5 linked regions of the Mus musculus genome follow. The protein of the gene in region 4 purifies or fractionates together with the protein of the main gene of each other region. This does not show direct contact. Links are inferred from orthologs where the notes say so. Each region holds a gene or a part of one and is shown on either strand. Other genes may lie near its edges.

What was found.
Region 1: the proteins of Skp1 (region 4) and Ccna2 purify together in Homo sapiens (affinity purification with mass spectrometry; 4 studies listed by BioGRID and IntAct, with this or other methods). This does not show direct contact. The link is inferred for Mus musculus from reciprocal best matches to the Homo sapiens genes SKP1 and CCNA2.
Region 2: the proteins of Skp1 (region 4) and Fbxo38 purify together in Homo sapiens (affinity purification with mass spectrometry; 6 studies listed by BioGRID and IntAct, with this or other methods). This does not show direct contact. The link is inferred for Mus musculus from reciprocal best matches to the Homo sapiens genes SKP1 and FBXO38.
Region 3: the proteins of Skp1 (region 4) and Cry1 purify together in Homo sapiens (co-immunoprecipitation; 4 studies listed by BioGRID and IntAct, with this or other methods). This does not show direct contact. The link is inferred for Mus musculus from reciprocal best matches to the Homo sapiens genes SKP1 and CRY1.
Region 5: the proteins of Skp1 (region 4) and Cry2 purify together in Homo sapiens (co-immunoprecipitation; 3 studies listed by BioGRID and IntAct, with this or other methods). This does not show direct contact. The link is inferred for Mus musculus from reciprocal best matches to the Homo sapiens genes SKP1 and CRY2.

What each region holds. Positions count from the first base shown.
Region 1 is NC_000069.6:36,570,239-36,574,368, reverse strand, and holds the start of Ccna2 (cyclin-A2), read left to right. Parts: upstream 1-1,330; 5' UTR 1,331-1,588; intron 1,589-2,065; 5' UTR 2,066-2,545; coding exon 2,546-2,731; intron 2,732-3,389; coding exon 3,390-3,633; intron 3,634-4,130. Other genes in the region: Bbs7 (Bardet-Biedl syndrome 7 protein homolog), read left to right, coding at 747-880. UniProt on the Homo sapiens protein: Cyclin which controls both the G1/S and the G2/M transition phases of the cell cycle. Functions through the formation of specific serine/threonine protein kinase holoenzyme complexes with the cyclin-dependent protein kinases CDK1 or CDK2.
Region 2 is NC_000084.6:62,546,064-62,550,307, reverse strand, and holds the start of Fbxo38 (F-box only protein 38), read left to right. Parts: upstream 1-1,444; 5' UTR 1,445-1,696; intron 1,697-2,046; exon of another isoform or gene 2,047-4,244. UniProt on the Homo sapiens protein: Substrate recognition component of a SCF (SKP1-CUL1-F-box protein) E3 ubiquitin-protein ligase complex which mediates the ubiquitination and subsequent proteasomal degradation of PDCD1/PD-1, thereby regulating T-cells-mediated immunity.
Region 3 is NC_000076.6:85,182,255-85,186,454, forward strand, and holds the start of Cry1 (cryptochrome-1), read right to left. Parts: upstream 2,801-4,200; 5' UTR 2,218-2,800; coding exon 2,060-2,217; intron 2,006-2,059; exon of another isoform or gene 1,133-2,005; coding exon of another isoform or gene 1,089-1,132; intron 1-1,088.
Region 4 is NC_000077.6:52,230,568-52,234,794, reverse strand, and holds the start of Skp1 (S-phase kinase-associated protein 1), read right to left. Parts: upstream 2,801-4,227; 5' UTR 2,677-2,800; intron 1-2,676. UniProt on the Homo sapiens protein: Essential component of the SCF (SKP1-CUL1-F-box protein) ubiquitin ligase complex, which mediates the ubiquitination of proteins involved in cell cycle progression, signal transduction and transcription.
Region 5 is NC_000068.7:92,431,270-92,435,328, forward strand, and holds the start of Cry2 (cryptochrome-2), read right to left. Parts: upstream 2,801-4,059; 5' UTR 2,755-2,800; coding exon 2,543-2,754; intron 1,040-2,542; exon of another isoform or gene 789-1,039; intron 1-788. UniProt on the Homo sapiens protein: Transcriptional repressor which forms a core component of the circadian clock.

The DNA.
Region 1 (4,130 bases), on a different chromosome or scaffold from region 4:
TTACATGATGGTGTTGCAGATCTACCGTCTCTCATCTGTGATTCCAAAATCTAGGAAGCAGCTTTGAAAACCAAAGTTTACCTTTGTAAATCATTTACCAGCAAATTGTCTTAATCTGATTGACTTCATGATAAAACCTGATTTAAACTGACACGAAGCTTTTTCTATTTTTTTTTTAAATCCCACTGAGTGCAAGTATTCACCTGTTTATTGTAAAAGCATTGCCATTTTGTTAGCAGATATCAGCACTCAGTCTCATTGGACCAATATAAAAAGTATCAATGGTATATTCTTTTTCTCTTCCTAAAATATACTTTTTTTCAAGGGTCTTGTATAAATAATAGACAACTTGAGTTGTCTCTGTGTTACATCTTGAAAACTCAAAGGTGCAGTAATTTCCCAGACCTCTGCACCCAGTAAGCCCATGGGTGAAGTGCTTCAGTTCAGACGTTCTTCCTGATGCAGCAGCAGTCAGTCGCTGGGATGCAGGGTGCACCGACACAGATTCAGAATCGCGACCAGTGGCTTGTCTAGGTCAGCAGTTGCAACCCATTGTTAGAAGGTTATCAAATATTTATGTCTTGAAAGTTGCTTCAAACCTTCTCCACATACACATCTGTTTTTAAAAACACCAACCTCTTCCAGGCTTGTATGTGTTGAATAATGGAGTCTCAGGTGGTGAGAGAATGCCACATGCATTGTTAAAAGAACTAATCAATAACAAGAAATAATATTTTTCTTCGTAGGTATGATTACTGATCTTTTTATAGATAAATTTAAGTTCAAAGGCACTAATGTAAAAACCAAAGTACCCATGCTCCTGGAGATTCTCGACAGCTACGACCAGAACACACTGATTTCTTTCTTCGATGCAGCATGAAAGATAAACAAGGTAGGCCAACAGGACAGCCGAAGAAGCAAGCAGAGCCTGATCAGACCCGAGGCACCTCAGATGGACGTCCCACATGTAATCAGAAGAGTGACGGCCTCTAAGCATCCCCCTACGAGTACCCATGAAAGTCCTTTTTATTGTGTACTTGAGGGGAAAAGAAGATCTTTTAGTCATTCATTTCAGGGGAATATTGCATTGAAAGTTTTAGAATACTATTAAATAAGAGCAAATAAGCTGTCTTTTGTTTTCAAAGGGTAGTTATGAAAACAATGATTACATTTTATTATATTTTATGTATGATTCTTAACTATTAAATGTGAACATTTAAGGTAATATACTTGTGTCTTTATATATTTATTTAGGTTTTGTATATATTTCTCTGTGTGTGTGTGTTTGGGTTGGTTTTTTTTTTTTTTTTTGTGGTTTTTGTTTTGTTTTGTTTTTCGAGACAGGGTTTCTCAAGACAGGATTTCTTTGTGTAGCTGACCTGGAACTAACTCTGCAGTCCAGGCTGGCCTTGCACTCAAGAGATCCACCTGCCTCTGCCTCCTGAGATGCCCGGAAAAGGCTTGGCCATCGCCTCCTGGCTGCCCGGTTTTCTTATGAACACTTTTTTTCTACTTTTGAGACATCATCTCACTACATAGCTGACTTGGACTAACTTGAATTCAGAGATCTGAAACTCTGGGATTAAAGGTATGTACCACAATGCACTTCATTTCTAAATGTAATATCTATTTGGGTCAGTGGAACTTCATGGTCTGATGTCACAACCAAGGATTAGCAAAATTAATGGACAGCTGAATTTCTTGTAGTACACCACTTGTTATCAACAATAGCTCATGTTGGCATTTTAAATTAACCCATCTTTAATTGGGGGTGGGGGTGGGGTAGTTTACTGGAATGCGGGGCATAGAGACACGCCTTTAATCCCAGATCAGTGAGCTCTGATAACGGATATCAGTGAGTCACAGGACAATTGGGACAGCATTATGAGACCCTGCCTCAAAATCAAACAACAAACAAATGATATACAGGAGAGGTGAAACAATAGTAAACAGTAAAAGTTCCAGCGTTTCCCTATGTTGTATGGCAGCATCACAGAGAAAGAGAAAGGAGTAGTGTACCCAGGACGGGGCAGTTTGTCATTCAGATCCATACGCTCCTGCCTAGGCGCCACCCAGCGACCAGGAGAAGGCGCTTCACCCCTTAGCTGAGGCGAAGGCCGACACCTCGAGGCCCCGAGGGCTTGTCTGGACCGCCCAGCGGCTCCGGCAGGATCCTATGAGGCTACAGATCCACTGAGCAGCAGAGATCGGCCGAAAGCGGCCGCCCGCCCCGCCCTCCTCTGCGCAGGCGCGTCCTCAGGCTCCCGCCCTGTAAGATTCCCGTCGGGCCTTCGCTCGCGGCGACCGGCGCTTCTGGTGACGTCACGGACTCCGGACGCCCTCATTGGTTTATTTCAATAGTCGCGGGCTACTTGAACTACAAGACCAGCAGCCGGCGGGCGGCGCGCAGCTCGCGGCTCCTGGGCTCTACGCTCCTCCCGCCTGCAGCCTCTGCTCCGCGGGTCGGCCGCCAGGGTCCCGCGCTGCTCCGGAGCGGCGGGCGCTGTGCACGCTCTGCCGCCGACAGAACCGGACCGGAGCCGCGATGCCGGGCACCTCGAGGCATTCGGGTCGCGATGCGGGCTCAGCCCTGCTCTCGCTGCATCAGGAAGACCAAGAGAATGTCAACCCCGAAAAACTGGCGCCAGCCCAGCAGCCGCGGGCGCAGGCGGTGCTGAAGGCCGGGAACGTGCGTGGACCCGCGCCGCAGCAGAAGCTCAAGACTCGACGGGTAATAGGGCGCGGGGGTCTGGAGGAGGGCCGGGCGGGAGCGGTCCTGGGTTTAGCAGCCCAGAGGGCCGGAAAGCACGCTGAGCATTCCAGGGGGAGTCAGGCTGCAGTCTTCGCGGTCCGGGCGTTTCTAGTACCAAATAGTCCCACGAGCTCTGCCGACCCGTGTAGACCGCCCTTCGGCACTAGTGGCGCCGCGTTCCAAAAAATGCCCGGGGTCATACCAAGCGTTGCCACTCGCGTGTCGACTTCCCCCAGCTGTGTACCTTTCCCTCCACTTTTAAAGCCAGGCATTGCATTAGGATGTAGATCCCTTCCCCCTCACCATCTGCTTCCCAGATTACTACTTCAGGGAAGGACATAAAGCAAGTATTCTTCGTGGTAAATTCCGCCATTTTAGCCAGACTTGCTGTTTTGCTCCACCCTGGGGCTAAAGTTGTGAATCAGTTCTTTGCCCTAACTTTAGTCTTTGATTAGTTTGGAATTCCAGTCCGTTCTATTTATAGCCTTTGTAGAAATGGCTGTGACAGATCGGTTTACACACCTTTACCTGGGCTTTGCCTCATGGACTTATATGTTTCTTAGAGTATTTGGAATTAAAAGCTGATACCCACCGGGCTAGAAGCAAAGTTGTATTGAAAAAGATTCCTCCTCTTTAGGTTGCTCCTCTTAAGGACCTTCCTATAAACGATGAGCATGTCACTGCTGGTCCTTCATGGAAAGCAGTCAGTAAACAGCCTGCCTTCACCATTCATGTGGATGAAGCAGAAGAGACTCAGAAGAGGCCAGCTGAGCTTAAAGAAACAGAGTGTGAAGATGCCCTGGCTTTTAATGCAGCTGTCTCTTTACCCGGAGCAAGAAAACCACTGACACCTCTTGACTATCCAATGGATGGCAGTTTTGGTAAGGTTGCTTTTTATTTTTACCAGTCTCTCTTCCTTCTTTCCCTCCTTTCTGTCTTTTTATTCCCCCTCTGGGTTTCTTGAGTATCCTTGACTGTCCTGAAACTCAATCTGTAGACCAGGCTGACCTTGAACTAAGAGATCCACCTACCTCAGCCTCCCAAGTGCTGGGATTAAAGGCATGTGCCACAACCACCAAGCCTGTGCCTTTTATTTTTGAGACAGGATCTCAACCTGTAGCTTATATCTTGATATTTTGAGTTTTAAGATTATGTCTTACCCGATCATACACAGTGAGTTAAGATTACCGCAATCTCATGACTAGTACTGACCTATGAAAGGACTCAAATCTTTAACCGGCAGGAGGGCACTGCAAACCAACATCAAGTTTAATTAGATCGTAAATATCTATCTTAATCTGACTTTATAAATGTTTGGCTAGGAGAATAGATTTCAGTTTTGTGTCTGACTCACTCCTTAACATGCCAGCCCTAAGAG
Region 2 (4,244 bases), on a different chromosome or scaffold from region 4:
ACCAACTCAAGGGTAAAAGTGTCATGAGATAACATCTGAGGTTTACAACAGCTTTATTATAACTCACTACCTGATGTTTCTGCCAGTGTATTTTAAAAGCTTTAAGTTATGATTTTCTTATTTCTGCTATTTAAAAAAAAACTTTATGAAACCATTACACATTGGCAAGTAGTTTGGGGGCTGTCCTGAATATGTGTTGTCAGGCCATGGTAACTCATACTTGGCTCCAGAATAAACAAACTATCATGTATTTCTTATGAAGTGATACCTGTGTTTTTGAAAGCACAAAAAGACCACCAAATGAAAGAATATACCCAATTGAATTAAAGAACGAACTCAATGGTGCTGAAATAAACTTTACTGCTTTTGTATTATGCCAGGCCCTAACTATATACTTCACCATCTCATCCCTGTTTATTCTTCAGAACAACCTGGGAGAAGAAGGTGGGGAGATGGGGAAGGCCTACACTTACTTATTCAAGTCCAAATACATTGACAGAAATAAGTAACGTGAGTACACACATTTCACTTACAGGAATTACACACAATTCTTCAATTACACGGATAATTGCAGTATTAAAGTTACCATGTGCACATATATACATATGTAATGCTGTTTTGGTCTGGTTTTGTTTTCCTACCAGAACTCCAAATTGGGATACATGGTTGATACCTGGAGCTACAGCCCAGTGTGCTAACGCTAATTCTTAGTAAGGAAAGAACTAGCAAGTCTGGTAAAAATTAAGAATAATTTGAACATTGTGCACGGTGCTCCCATACGCCAACCTTACTGAGTTTAGAATCAGCAGTTAACCTACCCCGCCCTGTAGATTGTCAAATTGAGTCTTAAATGTTCTATGTACATGATCTCTGTCCCCCCCCCCCTCCCCCGGGGCGACCACAAGAGTTAGATACCTCCGTGTTAGTTACAGGCCTGTGAGTACATCGACAAGAGAGCTGTAGGTTAAAAAAAAAAAAAAAATCTAGATTTCAGTCCAGTTTTGTGACATTGTGACAGCTATCTTCACTTTAGACAATGTAGAGGAAAAAAAAAAATCTATCAAGCAGACCTCTGCTCATAAGCCAAAGGCCCAGTGTTACATTTATTAATAAAACATTGATGTGAAAATCGTCATGTTCAAGAGACTATAGATCATAAACATGCAAAGGCAATGCTCGCAAATCACAGAATGATTTAATAGTCTTTGCGCCCCGCCACTTACCCACACCCCGAAATCAAGGGTCCTGTTTTTCGCTGGAAAATATTTTTATTGCACCTATTCATTTTGCCAATGAAGAAGAGGGGAGCCAGCGTACATCCAGGATTACAGAGTACCAGCACCACGGAAGAGCCGCAAGGAACCAGCTCCAGGAAATAGATTCCGGGTATTTCCGGTAGGGAACGCCTACGTCACCGGAAGAAGGGCCGGCTGCTAGGCTTTAAGAAATACCACGCTTATCATGGCCGCTTCGCTAGGACGGAGCCACACCTAACATGGACGCGGTGAGGCCCGCCCAGGCCCATCCCTCGATGACACTTCTTCGGAAGACGCTAGAGGCGGCGGAAGCGGAAGCGCTGCGGAGGTGGGGGCCGCAGGAAGAGTCTGTCGCGATTCTCGGTCCCTCTCCACCACAAAAACAGACGGAGGGCCGGCGTAAGTGAGCCGCGGCCTGGGAGGCTGTCGCGACGGTGGAGGTGCGCGGTGGTGGGCAGATGGAGGGGTCCGGGGCTCCCACCGCCCAGATCTTCGATCTCGGGGTTCAGGAACTCTGGGGCCTAGAGCGACCGAGAAAGGAGAGTCCGAAGTGTAGCGCTGGCCTTTCAGGCCTTGCTCCCAAGGCATCGCAGTTTTCTAATTCCGCCACGCAGAGCCTTGCCTGGGGCTCGGTTTCATCCCCCAAATGCGAGACTTGGGCCAGACCTGGGGCCCCTCCCCCAACACACACACCCCAGGCGTCCGCAGATGCAACGATTTTAATGTTGAGTCGTTTGAGTCAGTCAATCGAGGAACGCCTGCCCTCAGTCCGCTGAGGAAGTAGCCCTCCTATGATGCGGTTAATTCATCGTGGAAAAAAAGAAAAGAAAGAAAGAAAGAAAAGGGAGACCCTGGTTTTTGTCCCACTGTTACTGTTTTATTTGGGGGGAGGGAGGAATTCCCCCTCATTGTTTTGAACCTTAAATGTCTCATCTTTTCGAGAAAAGTATCTCGAAGTAGACACTGGCTTAAATCTGTCTCCCCCTCTCGCCCCCATCCCATCACAAATGGGAGATACAGTAGGGTTTCTGTAAAGCCATTTTTTTTTTTTTTGTATTTTTTTTTTCTGGAGAGATGGGAAAAGCACATAGTATGTAATTATAGACTGAGAATATTCGTGTGATTTTTTTTTAACTTTTGTTTGAGAATTACCGTTTTTAGATGACTAGAAAGACATGCTCATCCCTCTTGTCATAGATTGTGATGTTGCAGGTGTGCTGTGTTTGGGAGAAGGGTGTCAGGGGTGTGGATGTGTGTGTTGTACAGTGTCGTCCATCCTTTAAGCATAACAGCCATCAGTCTTTGCCAAAGCATGTGTGACTTCCTACAAAAGATCCTGCTGTTTGTCAACATTCCTTTGTAGAAGGTGTGTTTGGGGGGCAGGGGGAGGGCGAGAGGGTGGGAGCAGGTCTTTGGTTCCTCACCTGAGAGTCAGGACTCTCCCTCTGTACCTCTGGCCATTTGTATGTAGTAGTTCTGCCCTGATTGTACTTGGCCTTTTGGTGGGGGAGGTATTAAAGTAGAGTCTGGGAAGTTTGACTGAAGAGGAGAAAAGAATTCCATGGGAAGCCATCATCCATACCAGGTGAGGGCTTGACAGTCTGGCTGCTTTCCAGTACACCAGGCTCCTGTGTAGCTCCTCAGCCATGCTGTGTAAGTAAACCCAAAAACCCATTAGTTCCCCAAGGTAAACTTTGGTGGAATTGTATGTTAGTTTGTCATTGGGGCCTCTTAAGGGAGATTTATGTCTCTAGAGAATGAATTCAGACAACACAGCAAGTGTGTGTGTGTGTGTTTAAATGGTTGTGTGCCTGAGGTACACGTTTCATTTTCATTCAGAAGGACATAACAGAAGAGAAAGGGGAAACTAGGTTTCACTGAAGTTAAGTGGTATAAAAGTTGGTCTTGAGTTGGAATTGAAGGCCTAGGTACTTATTTCAGAAACGGTGCGTTCTGCCTTAGAGACAGACAGCATATTCTTCTGATGCTCATTTTCATTATTTGTAAAATAAAGGGTTGAACTAGATTCCTTGCCCTTTCATCAGTATAGGTTCCCCCCTCCCCTTTTAAATCAAAGCAGTGTGGCGGATGGATGACACTTTGAGAGCAAGAGGACACATTATAGATAGTGGATACATAAAGTATTCTGTGAATATTAATTACGTGATGTGCAAGGTTCCACTGATATAACAGAATGAAGCCAACAGGCGTTAGATAAAGAGGCATTAGAAACCTCATCGGCAGGAATGACCTAGGCAGTGTAGGACCCATGGGATGATTTAAGATCTTTGCTCCAGGTTAATGTTTTGTTTGTTTAGGGCAATGAGATGTCATTTGATCTTAGTAAGTTGGGATGATTGAGGAAGCAACCTGACCTGTGGAATCTAAGAGTATAAGCCAGGTGGGAAGGCTTTGCTGCCACCTTGTACTCACCAGACAGTAACTGAATGAGTGAGGAGATGGAGGAAGGCCTAGATGCCGGTGACCGAGAGCAAGGGGTCTTTTCAAGAGAATTGCTGTTGATCAGGTACAGACCAAGACCTTGATTCCACCTTGTGGGAAAAAGAAATCTTAACAGATCCTTGCCGTTTCAGCTAGTTTTGTGATGTCAGTTTAGCTCTTCTCTGTGAAATACTAGTGTTGCAGAGTGCCATGTGTGAGTTGAGGAGTGGAGAGGAGTAATTACTCCTTTCTAATTAGTAGTCAGTGATAAAAAATACTGACAAGGTAGATCAGGTAGAGGGAGATTGTCGGTTGAAAGGGGCTTAAGGAGTCCAGGAGGTTGGGTATTTATAGGCACAGGTGTTTCAGGCTTATGCACTACAGTGTTAAGTAAATACATCTATGATAGAGTACACAATTAAAATAGCGTAATTTCAAGCAAGTGAATGTTAGAGCATTAAAGCTTAAGACAGGCACAATTTGAGGATCGACCCAAATGATTTTGTCGGTTTATTATAGAGTCCTTTCTGCTGACGACATGGCAGA
Region 3 (4,200 bases), on a different chromosome or scaffold from region 4:
GTATCATCCTACACTGGGTAATGAAGGTACCACAGGGAAAAGTGACATCTGGGCTGAGTTTCGAAGAGATAAGTAGACTTCTGAAAGCTCACAGTTAGCAGGGCAGTGGTGGCGCACACCTTTAATCCCGGCACTCGGGAGGCAGAGGCAGGTGGATTTCTGAGTTTGAGGCCAGCCTGGTCTACAGAGTGAGTTCCAGGACAGCCGGGGCTATACAGAGAAACCCTGTCTCAAAAAAAAAGAAAAAAAACAACAACAACATCAACAACAACAACAAAAAAAAAACAAAACAAACCAAAAAACAACCAAACAATAACAACAAAACCCCTCACAGTTTAATAGCTATTCATGGAGGTTTTCTGACAAAAACCTTCCAGTAAGTTTTAATCACCTCTGTGCCCACTGAGATACCCTCCTGACTCCCCAGGACTAAGTCACCACTAACCTGCTCTCCATCCCTGTGTACTTGCCCATTGTGGATAGTTCATATAAGCACAATCATCAAGTATGAAGTTTTATGACAGCTTCTTTCAGCTAACATGCTCTCATGGTTCACCTACACATTTCATGGCATTTATCAGTATCTCATTCCTTCATGGCCAAGCAAGTAACTGGTGCATGGATACACACAACAGGAGGCCCATTAATCAGCCGGTTGGCACGAGGGCTGTTTTCACCTGTTGACTGTGATAATACAGCTCTTTTTGTTCCGCTCAACCCCACAACCAACTTGCCGGCACATCCACACAAGCCATTCTCCAAGCTTGCACCCGGAAATGAACGTCTCCTAAGCGGTGTCCACACTTCTTATCCAGCTTCAATGCCCGATCAGTCACGTTCTCAGAATCCCAACCAAAGAAGGTTTTTTTTCTAACTTACGTTAGATGACATCACTTCTCTGCTAATACCCTTGTACTGCAGTCATTTCCACTCTCCTGGGGTAAAGTCACAGACCTTAGTGACGGCGCATAAAGCTCTAGAATCTGGCCCCCGTTACAACTATAACTTCATCACCTAGTACTTTCCCCCAGAGGTTTTGCTCGTCATTCTGGCTGGCTGTTCCTTCCAAAGATCAAACCCATTCTCACCTCAGGACCTTTCCCTGGAATGTTCTTCCCTTAGACAGCTGCATCCCATGTCTTCAAATCGGCGACCACTTTCTCCACACATCCTAGCTGTGGTAACTTCCAGTGAGCTACATCCCCAGCTAATTAACATTGTTTTAAATTGTGTCCCCATCCCTATTCCTGTTTACCTCGTCTTTTCTTTGCAACACGTCTCATCTCCAAAAGGACTACATACGTATTTTTTTCTTGGACATATGCCTGAAGAGGGCAGACTTCTCGTTCACAGCTCTATCCCTCATATCCAAAGACACGGCTGGCACATAAGCTATCAATATTATCTGCTGAACTAATGCTTTCGTTTCATTCCGCCACACAATCGTCTATCCTGTTTTCCCAGGCACAGCTCACAAAATGTCCGGAGGATTTCTTCCAGTCGCAATTCCCTAGAAGGATTATACTTTGCCTCGAAAGAAAAACTGTGCTTTGTCTTGTCAACCACAAGGAGGAGTTGAGAGAGAGAGTTGGGAAACCAGCTAATTCTTTCCCTTGCTTTTCCTCCTCTAACCTCAAGGGGGAAGAAAGCTGGATCCGGAGCCCGCTATAATAAATGAATGGTTTTTCTCCACACTATGAGTTACCTAGACACACACGTCAACATTAAAGATTACAACCCTTTCGGAGGCCTAAGATATCAAGGCCATTATGATCTGGGAGTGTTTAATTCTCCTCCTAGTTATTTCTCGCAAATCAGGGAAGGCGTTCCCATCAACACAGACACATAACTTACCGGTAAAAGCTAAAGTGTTTCAGGGTCGTCAATAATCTCTACTACTAAGTCTGTACTATTTAATATTGACCACATCTACAATTCTTTAACGATGTAGGCAATTCGGTCCCTGGACTAAAACCAAATCTCAGATCTGACACTAACGCATCGACACCCGACTCGCGCACACCGCGATCGATTGATTTCCCAAGCGCTTCGGACTCACCGCCACCTGTTGATGCCCACGTTGGAAGAGCCGGCGAACCAGGGGTCGAGGATATAGACGCAGCGGATGGTGTCGGCGCCCTGGATGCACTCCTTCAGGGCGGGGTTGTCGTGGAGCCGGAGTCCCTTTCGGAACCAGTGCACGGCGTTCACCCCCATGCTCGGGGCGCGGCGGGTCACCCCGACTTCCTCTACCGAGAGCTTCAAGGGAGGGAAGCCGGGCTCATAACCGACACCTGCGCTTCCAAGAAAACCTCCTCACCCGAGGAGTGGGGAAAGGGCTGCAGAGAGGGGACGGGAGGAGGCGACGCCGAGGCGGGGCGCGGAGGTGGCGAGCGCGCAGCTGGCAGATGAATGGAGGCTGCCGAGGCGCCGGGATCCACGCGCGACGTCCTTCAGGAGCCCGCGCCCAGCGTCCGGAGGACACGCATACCTTCCAGGGCCTGAGACCCCCGGAGCGCAAGCGAGCGCGCGGGGCCCGAGCCGCCACGACGGCCCGAGCTGGTCGCAGCAGCCCCGGGAGGCTCGTCACGGAAACCTCGCCCAACCGAGGCGACCCGCGAGGAGACGGTGGCGCGCCCGAGGCGGCCTCCACGAACGGACACGAGCTCACGCGGCCTCCGCGCGACGCGGCCTGTGCGTCCCGGAGTGGGCAGCGAGCTCGGAGAGCGCGGGCTAGAGCTCCAGGCCGCGGGACGCTCGCCTGCCGGTCACCGGTCCCGAGGCTGCCCGGGTGACTCCGCCGCGTCAGCGGCCTCCGCCCCGCCCCCGGCTTCTCATTGGGCGGCATGCACCCCACGTGACCACCGGCACCTCACGTTTCTGAAGTGTGTTTACTACACTGGCTCAGACCCCCGCGTGCGCCGCCGCGCCCGGTGCTTCGGGACCGGTTGCGATCGCTGGGCGCTCACGACCTGAGTTCTCGCGTGGGATCCGGACTCGCAGCCTCTGCGGGTCTCCTGAGCCCCAGGCCGCTCGCGGGGGCCACAGGCCGCGAGAAGGGGGAGGAGGCATAGTTCTGCTCCCGGGGCCGGGAGCCGCCTCCATTGGCCGAGGCTCGCGGGGACCCGGATGAGCACGGGGCTGCGGGGAGCTCGCGGGCGCGCGCTCTGCCGGGCACGGCGCGCGTGCGCTGCGCTCTCGCGGTGGAAGAGAAGAGGCTAGGACGCGGGAGCGCGCCCAGGGCTCTTCCTATGGGTTGTGTGGAAGGTCTGAAGCCAGTTCCGTGTGCCCTGAGAGTTATTGCTGGGCTGGGTGAGAGGCAACCGAGGCACAGTCCTGCCTCTCACCCAGCTTCAATCAGGTGTTAATCGGAGTCCCCTGCTCTGAAAGGAGCAGAAATCACGCCGTTAGCCTTTTTTACTGTTTGGGGCGGGCACCTTTGCCCAAGCTCTGGAGAAGACAGGTCCGATCTCAGATATTCAGCATTTCATAATACTGTAGATACATCGTCAATTTATCAACTCTAATCTATTACATGAAGTGTAGTTTAGAAGGTATTTTGATTAGGTTTTTGGGCTTTTTGCTTTGCTTTTTTTTTTTTTTTTTTTTTTTTTCTTCAACTGAAGTTAAATGGGAAGAGGAACCTTAATTGTAGTAAAGACTTCCATCAGGTTGCCTGTAGGGAAGTCTGGGCACTTTCTTGATTAATGAGTGATGTGGAAGGACCCGACCAGTGTGTGTGGCGCCACCATTAGGCTGGTAGCCCTAGGCGGGTTGTATATGGAAGCAGGCTGAGGAAGCCACAGGGAACCAAAACGGCTTTCCTCCATGGCTTCTGCTTCAGCCCTCTATCTCCAGGTTTCTGCTTTGAATTTCTGCCCTGACTTCTCCCCACGATGGATTATTAACTGTAAACGGCAACAAACCCCTTCCTTCCTGGCCAAGTTGCTTTTGCTCATGATGTTTTATCAAAGCAATTGAAGTCTAATGAGAACACAGGGCCACATGTGCATCTTTACCAGACTTCCTAGCCATAACCTACAGGCCATGCCTTAGACATACAATGCCCTTTTTGTTGAGACGGGGTCTCGCGGAGCCCTGGCTTACCTTGAACCTGCTGTGTAACTGAAGATGGCTCTTGGTTTTGCTCTTATCCCTGAGTCCTAGCATCACCTATGTGCATATATTCATCCAGGGTTA
Region 4 (4,227 bases):
ACTACAAAAATGCATTTAAGTCATAGTGGCAGGCACCTATAAAGCCAGTACTTGAGACACAGGAATTCAGACATCAGGCACACAGCCAAGTTCAAATCCAGCCTAGGTTATGTAAGAATCTGTCTCCAAAAACAAAAACACCCACCAAATATAAATTAATTTAAAATGGCATGGTAGTAGTGTATGCCTTTAATTCCAGCACTTGGGAGTCAAGACACAGGTGCATCTCTTTGAGTTCAAGGCCAGTCTACAGAGTGAGTTCCAGGACAGCCAGGGCTATACAGAGAAAAGTCCTGTAATGCCCAGCTTTTAGATGCCCGAGTGAGGATCATAATTTCAAGGACTAAGTAACATAATGAGGTCAAGCCAGCTTTGGTGGAACTCAGTAAGAGTCTGCTTAAAATGAAATACAAAAGAGGCTGGAGATATAGCTCCTTAGTATAATGCCTAACACGTATAAAGCTCTATTTCAATCTGCAACACCGCCCTCTCCCCCTCTCCCCAAAAGGTGAGCCAAGCAAGTACATCCCATAATCCCAACAGTTTGCCAAATAGAAGGATCAGGAGTTTATGACCATCTTCTTGACACATAGGAAAATAAATTTAAGGTTAGCCTGGTTTTCTTGGCCCCGTCTCAAAAACTAAACTCAACAAATCCCCCCAAAAACAAAAATCCAAAACCTTATCAACTGAGATATAAAATGAGTCATCAGGGAAAAAAAAAAAGCCAAATAAAAACAAATCAGTATTAATACTAAAAGCTCTAAGCCAGCAATTTCTTATCATCAGATTTCCCCCTCATCCCTTCAAAAGAGGATTAATTCAAGACCTCTTTAAAATTCACAAGCAACTTTTTTTCTGATAGTTTTTGTTTTGTTTTTTGAGATAGGGTTCCTCTGTATTACCCTGGCTGTCCTGGAACTTAAGACTAGTCTTGAACTCAGCCATAAACCTGCCGCTGCCTCCAGTGCTGGGACTAAAGGTGGGCACCAAAATCCCTACCTCACATGCAACTAGGCAGGTCTGTGCTTCTAAGGAAGATACAAGCCTTCAATGTTACTCTAAAGGTACTTCTTAAGCATTTCTGGATCTGAGTTGTATTACTAACGCGATTTTTCACAAAAGTACAGGGTTTAGCATTTAAAATAACTACTACACCTATTTTAGGGTCAAACACTTAAGACTCAGCACATCTCCTAAAATATTCATTCAGCTTTCTGAGACACTTGTCCCCAATTCCTCAAGTAAACAAGCTTCAAGAAAGGGGGTTGGGAGAGGTAAAGCTTGTTTTACAATCATCCATTGAAATACCCAGCTCCCACTCATCCATGGTTGAAGAGACTCAAGAGTTCACTTTTCAACTAACAAACATGTCTGCAGAACAGAGAAGTCAGAGCAGCAGACCCTCCCTATGATAAGGCAACAATAAAAGTTAAAATAGGCCAGTTTTTAATAGCAAGACACTGTGTTCTTTTTATGATCTCTAGTACTACAATGAGCATTCCAGAACAAGTCTATGTAGTTGATAAAATTATTTTAAAAGACCACCCCGTATTTCCTTGAAATAATTCACAATAAATAAAGATGTGCTTAGTCATAGTCAAATTTAGGTATTAGGTTACTTGCAAGGGAGCCAGGATCTTATTAAATGACAGGGAGGCAATCGGTTAATCTGTAATTCAACGCACTCTGTAATCCTAGACTTCACTTTTGTTGTTGTGTTGGAATTAAGTGCAAAATTTTTAAGTAATAATGTATGAGGTTTCGATTTGATATGCTTTCAAAAAACCCTTCTTCAGTTCTCTAAGCTCCTAGACTTGGAAATTAATCATCCAAGTCTAGCATGAGAATTCTAGTATACCAGACTTTAAAAACAAACCTGTTTTAAGTGACTCGAAATTCTGACACTTGTTACTACACTGCAGGACGGAAGAGACTGCATTGTTCTATGCCACAATACAGTCTACTGTAACATTCTGCTGAAAAACTGAGTCTCCAAACCTGAGGACTCCGTGAAAAAGTGAACCAGAAGGCAGGTTTTAGCACTATCCCTTAAAAAACCCAAACACCTCAGGTTTTAGCGTCAAATGCCACACACCTCAGACGACAGTGTCTATTACAGTAACAAGTTCAGAGACTGCAGAACGTGACAAAACGCAAAGAAACATTGGGAGTCTGTTACCTGCATATTCGGTGGTTAAAAAGGTGAGACCAATAAGGAGCTAATTGACGCCAGATACAGGAGAAAAGGGAGGGAGCCAAGAATCAAATGGCAACGACAGCCACCACCTGGAACGGCCCAGGACCCCTACTCAAAGCCTCGCTGCCCACCCGGCCTGGAGCGCGGAGCAGCAAGCCTGTCGCTAAGGCAGGCCCGGTACGAAGCCTGGGCCTTCCAGTCGCGTTTGGGGCCGACTGACGTCGCCTGCAAAGCGGCAGGCCTGCCACAGGGCTCGACTCTCTTCCCTGAGCGAGCGCCGAAAGGATGGGAGACCCTTGAAGGCCTGACTCGGCCTCCTCGTGCCTCCCGCGGTCCGGGGGTCTGCAACGGGCCGCACGGCGCCTCAGGATACGAGGCCAGGTCGCCTCGCCGCCTCGTGCACTCCACAGCCAACGCGAGGCTCCCACCCAGCCCCTCCCTCGAGGAACGTGTCCGGCTCGCGGGTTGCTACTCACGGTGCTCCGTCTCAAGACCGCAGGCCCGAGGCTGCCGGACAGAGTTCACAACCACAACGAAGTATCGAGAACAAGGCCACTCGAGCGGCGCCGCGCGGCGTCGCCTTTTATAGCAGCGGGACGCAGGCGCCGAGGACCCCGAGCCCGTGACGTCACACAGCCGGCCGGGCTGGCCGTTGAGATCGCCTGACGGCAGTCGAAACACAGGCGGCAGACCCTGAGCGCCGCAGAGGTCTCCTGGAGAGGTGCTGAGCGGCGGCGGGTGGAGGGGTGGCTGGGCAAGAGAGGGACGTCCTCCTTACTCCGCTGGCCTAAACAGCGCCATGCTCTCCTTCAAAGCGGACTCCGGCACCGGCTGGGAAACCATCTCGACCCGAAGGGTCTTTCAGGCATGGGCTGTCTTAAACGGCTTGAAAGACCCCAGTCCTGGAAAAGCCTGGAAACAACAAACCGCAAAACCGGTTGTGGGTGTGTGTTTTCCTTAAAGGAGTCGCCTCAGCCTGACCACCGTTACTCTCCTAATAACCTAAGGAAATAGAATTGAGTTTGCTGACCAGGGGTTCAGGAGTTGAACCTTCTCTACTGATACTGAATTAAATATATATATATATATACATGTATGCCATGTTGAGACAAAGGTGTTTCTTTAACCTAGGCGGCTTAGAATTCTTAAATACTCCTGACATGGTACACCTGCTTATTTGATTTTTAAAGTTTTATTTTCTTTGCATTTTAAGACGGGACCCTGTTTGGCACAGAGTAGCTGTAAATTCAGTATGTTGACCAGGTTGGTCTAAAATTCATGATCTCCTTCCACCTGCGCTGGGGTCACAGGCATTTTCACCACATATATACTTGCCTGAAACTCTTGTTGTTTTGTTTTGAGACAGGGTCTTACTATATAAGGCTTGGAGCTCGCTATTTAAACTCAGATCTGTCTGCCTCCCAATAGCCAGCTTGGAGATTCGAGGCTAGGACCACCCTGTTGGCTAATCTTCACCTTTATTTCCTACCTTTGAACTTTGAAGAGGCTTCCAGGCCCCCAAATAGCCATTGTTGGAGTGAAGCGCCAAGCCTGGAGAGAGTCAATGTGAATGTAGCATGGAGGTTACATTCTTTGGGTAACCATGCTCTAGGCCAATCTGTGAGGCCAGTGCTGGGGATCCATCCAGCAATGAACGGGGACAGTCAGGCTCAACCTGAACAGGCTATGCTGTACAGGCGGCTCAAAGAAGGCTGTGATAAGGTCGCTAGAATGAAACAGCTTTGAAGTAAAGGGAGAGGCCTGAAAGCACCCATCTGGCCTCAGCCCAGCCAGGAAGAGGGCAATTGCCTGCCCTGCCCTGCCCTGCCCTGCTGTGTCTAGGGAGCATCACTAGCCCCACCAAGGCGCCAGGCTCACCTAACCAGTGAGCACATGATTGGTATTCCTGGCACCACGAAGACAAAAGACTTTTCCACACAGGGCCTCCTAAAGAAACCAGAGACTACAGCTTCTCTAGGACAAGACTGGGCAGAGAGACCAAGCAATGGGTTGAATTACCAGGTCTT
Region 5 (4,059 bases), on a different chromosome or scaffold from region 4:
TTGCCTTTCTCTTTAACACTGTGGCTATTTTAATCGGATTCCATCTGCAGGGAGGCAGTCAGTGTAACAGAGGTGACAGAATCAGATCTCCCTCTGCTGCCAGATGGGCCCCACCCTTCTAGAGAGAGTCGGTTGCTGAAGCAGTAGGGGGCAGGGCCGTCATGCTGCAGCAGCACCATTCTCTTAAGACTACTCCCAAGCTCAGAAGCAGTGCCGGAAGATTACACATACTGTAGTTATGCAGAAATGCAGCTGAGGGGGGCAGGTGGGGTGGGATGGGTGGACTCCTCGCCTCCAACTCCTCACCTCCAACCCTGTGCACAAATGGCATTTAGCCCCGCACTCAAACCACTGGGGGCAAGGACAACGGCGAGGCTGCTGGAGTGTGCCTGATGCCGGGCTCAGAAGCAGCTACCATATTCGATCTGTTTTTTTGTTATTTCACCTTGTCCTCCTAAATGCCAAAGCTAATTAGACTTCTGGTCAATGCACTGAAGCAACACACTCCCTGGGTTGCCTGGCTTGCTATAGTTCCTTAGTGCAGCACTTCTGAAGCTTGGCTGCAGTGGCCAAAAAACCAAGGCAGCCTAGGGTAGGGCAAGGCAACTGAATCAGAGAAGCAGAAACGGGGGAGGGGAGCCCAGGAAGCTTTCAAGGGTCCTTAAGTGATTCCAACGTGAGGCAAATATTAAAAGCACATCTGTAGTTTGTGTCTCCCCACCTCCACCCCCACCCCATTCTGCTCACGGCATTTAGGCCTCCATTTATGCTTGTCTTTCTCTACTCAGATGCAGGTCTCTGGAGGCTGTGGGAGCTCACCGAGGCCCGACGGTTCACTGCCATGCTCGGCAGCAGCCTACCAGCTACAACTCCTGGAATCCCATTCTCAGTACCTGCACTCCCACAGGACTTGAGATGTTGCCCAAGCATCTGAGCTGCCTCAGTCGTTTTCTGCTTCATTCTCTCGAAAGTGCCGCTACAAAAGGGTGACCCACAAAAATCAAAAAACCATAAAACCAAGCATACTGGAGTTCAATCTACCTTGTGAAGGGGGAAAAAAGGCTCTTTTATTTCCACTACCACAAAGGAGTAGGCAGTCATAGATAGCGCTCCCCCCAAATCCCAGTAAAAAACGAAACATCTTCATGACAACATAACAAATAAGAGTCAGATTCTATTGACTCTGTCCACACTGGCGCACTGCCAAAAGGAAGGGGAGGGCAAAGTCTGAGGCCTGGTTTAATGTCCACAGCAGAGATGGTCATTTGCCGGTGTTTGTCAAACCCAACCTCCTATCTATGGAAACTGGAGCGAGACAGAGTAATAGCCCAATCTGAAAACTGTGTGGGCTGGCTCTTCACAGGACTATCTTTAGTTGCTCCCTCTGTGTAAATGGGGCAGGAAGGGGCATTTAGTAGGCGTGCTACTAGGAACACTTGCTCTCCTAGCAGGGCAAACCCCTCTTGGAGAGGAAAGAGTGGACGCTGAGAGCCACGGTCTCCTGGGAACTACCTCACTCATCTGTGCAACAAGGCCATAAGCAAACACCTCTCATAACAATGCAAACAAACCAAGCTACTGCAGGGAGGCCTTTAGACAGTGATGGGAACATGGTGTATCAAAACGTCTTGTTTCTGAAGACTGGTTACAGAGAAAATACATCAGATGCCGATTTATTATGTCACAGCATGCTGGGAAAGGGTTCAGCCTCCTGGGAGTTATCACCGAATCTTCATATTGTGTTCTTGTTTTTCCACATCAGCTCCTAAAAGTCTCATCTGTAATGGCCCAGCTCTCCTAAAAAACACTTCATGACAACAGGCGGAAGAGCTGACGGGTGATGCAACCCTCTTTGAATATCTTTCTAGCAACGTTATAACTACACAGGGATCCTCTCAGATGGGTTAGGGGACCTCCTGAGAGATTGCTCATTGGGTAAAGGCACCCGGCTTTCCACCCTGGAACCGTATGGTGAGTGAGAACCTGCAAGTCGTCCTTTTAACTCTATACACTGCCATGCCATGCATGTCCTTTCCCAATCAATGTTTTTTAAAAAAAATGCGTCAAGAACACAAAAGTGCCATTACCCGATGATGCCCTTGGGGTCTTTTTAAAACCGGCTAATGCTAAGCTAGGTTCCCTGATCACCACCACGTTTGTCTGTGAAGAGAGGTTACGCGGGATGGGAAAAGAGGCGTGGGGGAGAGTCAAACAAATCCGAGGCTTAGGGAAGCCCTTGGGGGGGGGGGGTCCACGAGGGGCTACTTCTCTTGAAGAAGCTTTTCTCCGCTCCCACAGCACACCCCTAAAAGCCCAGTCCCCATTCTTCCAGGGACTGGCTGCAGATCCTCCCTCAGGTTGACTTCGCGTTTTTGACGAGAGTCTCGTCAGCATAGAGGGACCTCTGTCCCCCAGGCCTCCCAGGAGTTCAGAGCGGGCCACACTGGGCAAAAACGCTGTGTCAGAGTGGCCGCAGGCTGGAGTTCCTGGGCCCAGGGGAGTCCGCTTGGTGTTGCCACCCCGCAGCATAGGGTCCCCTCACCTCCATCGGTTGATGCCCACAGACGAGGAGGCCGCGAACCACGGGTCGAGGATGTAGACGCAGCGCACACAGCGCGCCCCGCGCACGGCAGCTAGCAGCGCGGGGTTGTCGTGGAGCCGTAGTCCTTTGCGGAACCAGTGCACCGAGGACGCGCCGTCCGCGCCCATCGATTGCGCGGGGACCGTCGCTGCCACCACAGCAGCCGCCGCCATCGCCGCCTGGACTGGGTCTCGGTCTGCCGCTCCGCCCGACCGCCCCGTTGGTCCCGCCCAGCGCCCGCCCAGCGACCTATGATGCAGCCTCTCCCTGGCATGACTCCGCCCCAAGGAGTCTGGATCGCCTCTGTGATTGGGTGAGACCCGGTGGGACCCTCCCTCTGTTCCATTGGTCAGCAGCGTCGGCGCAGGCTCCGCCCCCTCACGTTCCCACCATGTGTGGTCCCGCTTGGTAGCCACCCGCCGGTGACGCAGGACCGCGCTGCGTCCGCCCCGCGTGGGCTGAGTCTGGAGGGACCTCGGATCTCCTACGCATTTCGCGTCCCCGGGAAAGACAGGGGTTGCGGTGACTCCGGCCGGTGGCTGACAGACCTGTTACCGGGCCCTTTCTAACAGTTCATTGTCCTGTTCATATGTGAGGCTGAGCGGTGATTGCCTTACACAAACTGTCCTATTTTCTATTTTCATCTCATCCTGGTAACGTTCATTTCATAAACACGAATAAAACAGATGCTTGTTAGTCTTACTCTGCAGATGAAGTAAGCTTAGGGCGCCCCAGTTTGAATGACTTGCGCAATACCATGAATCCAGTAAGATTCCACTCAGAATCTTCCGATTTCAAAATCCACTTCCTCGCAGAGAATCTTGGTATTTGCATACAGAAAGGCATAAGGATAAAGGAGACGCCCTTTTATGCGGCAGGAGTGGGTTTGGGAGAAAGGACAAAGGTTTCAGAGGACGTGGGTTGAGGCAGTAATTATGCCCTCAAATGAATTCATTTCTTTTACGTTCTGTTTAGCAGACACAGTGCAGTTATTTTGCACAAAACTCTGAACTGGATTCTATGTGGGAATCAGAGATGTGCAGGGCAATATTCTCCTGTCTCCTTTGGGAATCCTTTGATTCTTTGGAGATTCTGGCAGAGTTTGCTGATTGAACAAGTGCAGCAACCGTTGCACTTGGGCTAAGATGGGCTAGTTGGGATGGAGGGCTGGAGCTATCCAGCAGAGAACTGTTCCGATTTGTCCTTGTGTTGATCCTATGGGTAGTCACCTTCCCCATCTTGGGAATGAGCAATGAAAGAATCTAGAATTTAGTCAGCAATTTAATGGCATTAATTGGCACCACTCTCTGACTACAGCGTCATTACGAGCCTCTCATTTCCAGCGCTTTGGACATGCTGTTCTCTCACATCACATGCCCCAGCCCACACCCTCGTGCCTCCTGTTTTCCCTGTGACAGCTGTTATTTTCCAGTTTCCTGGGCCCAACCTGCACAGGGGCTCACCTCATTTGGTGTCTT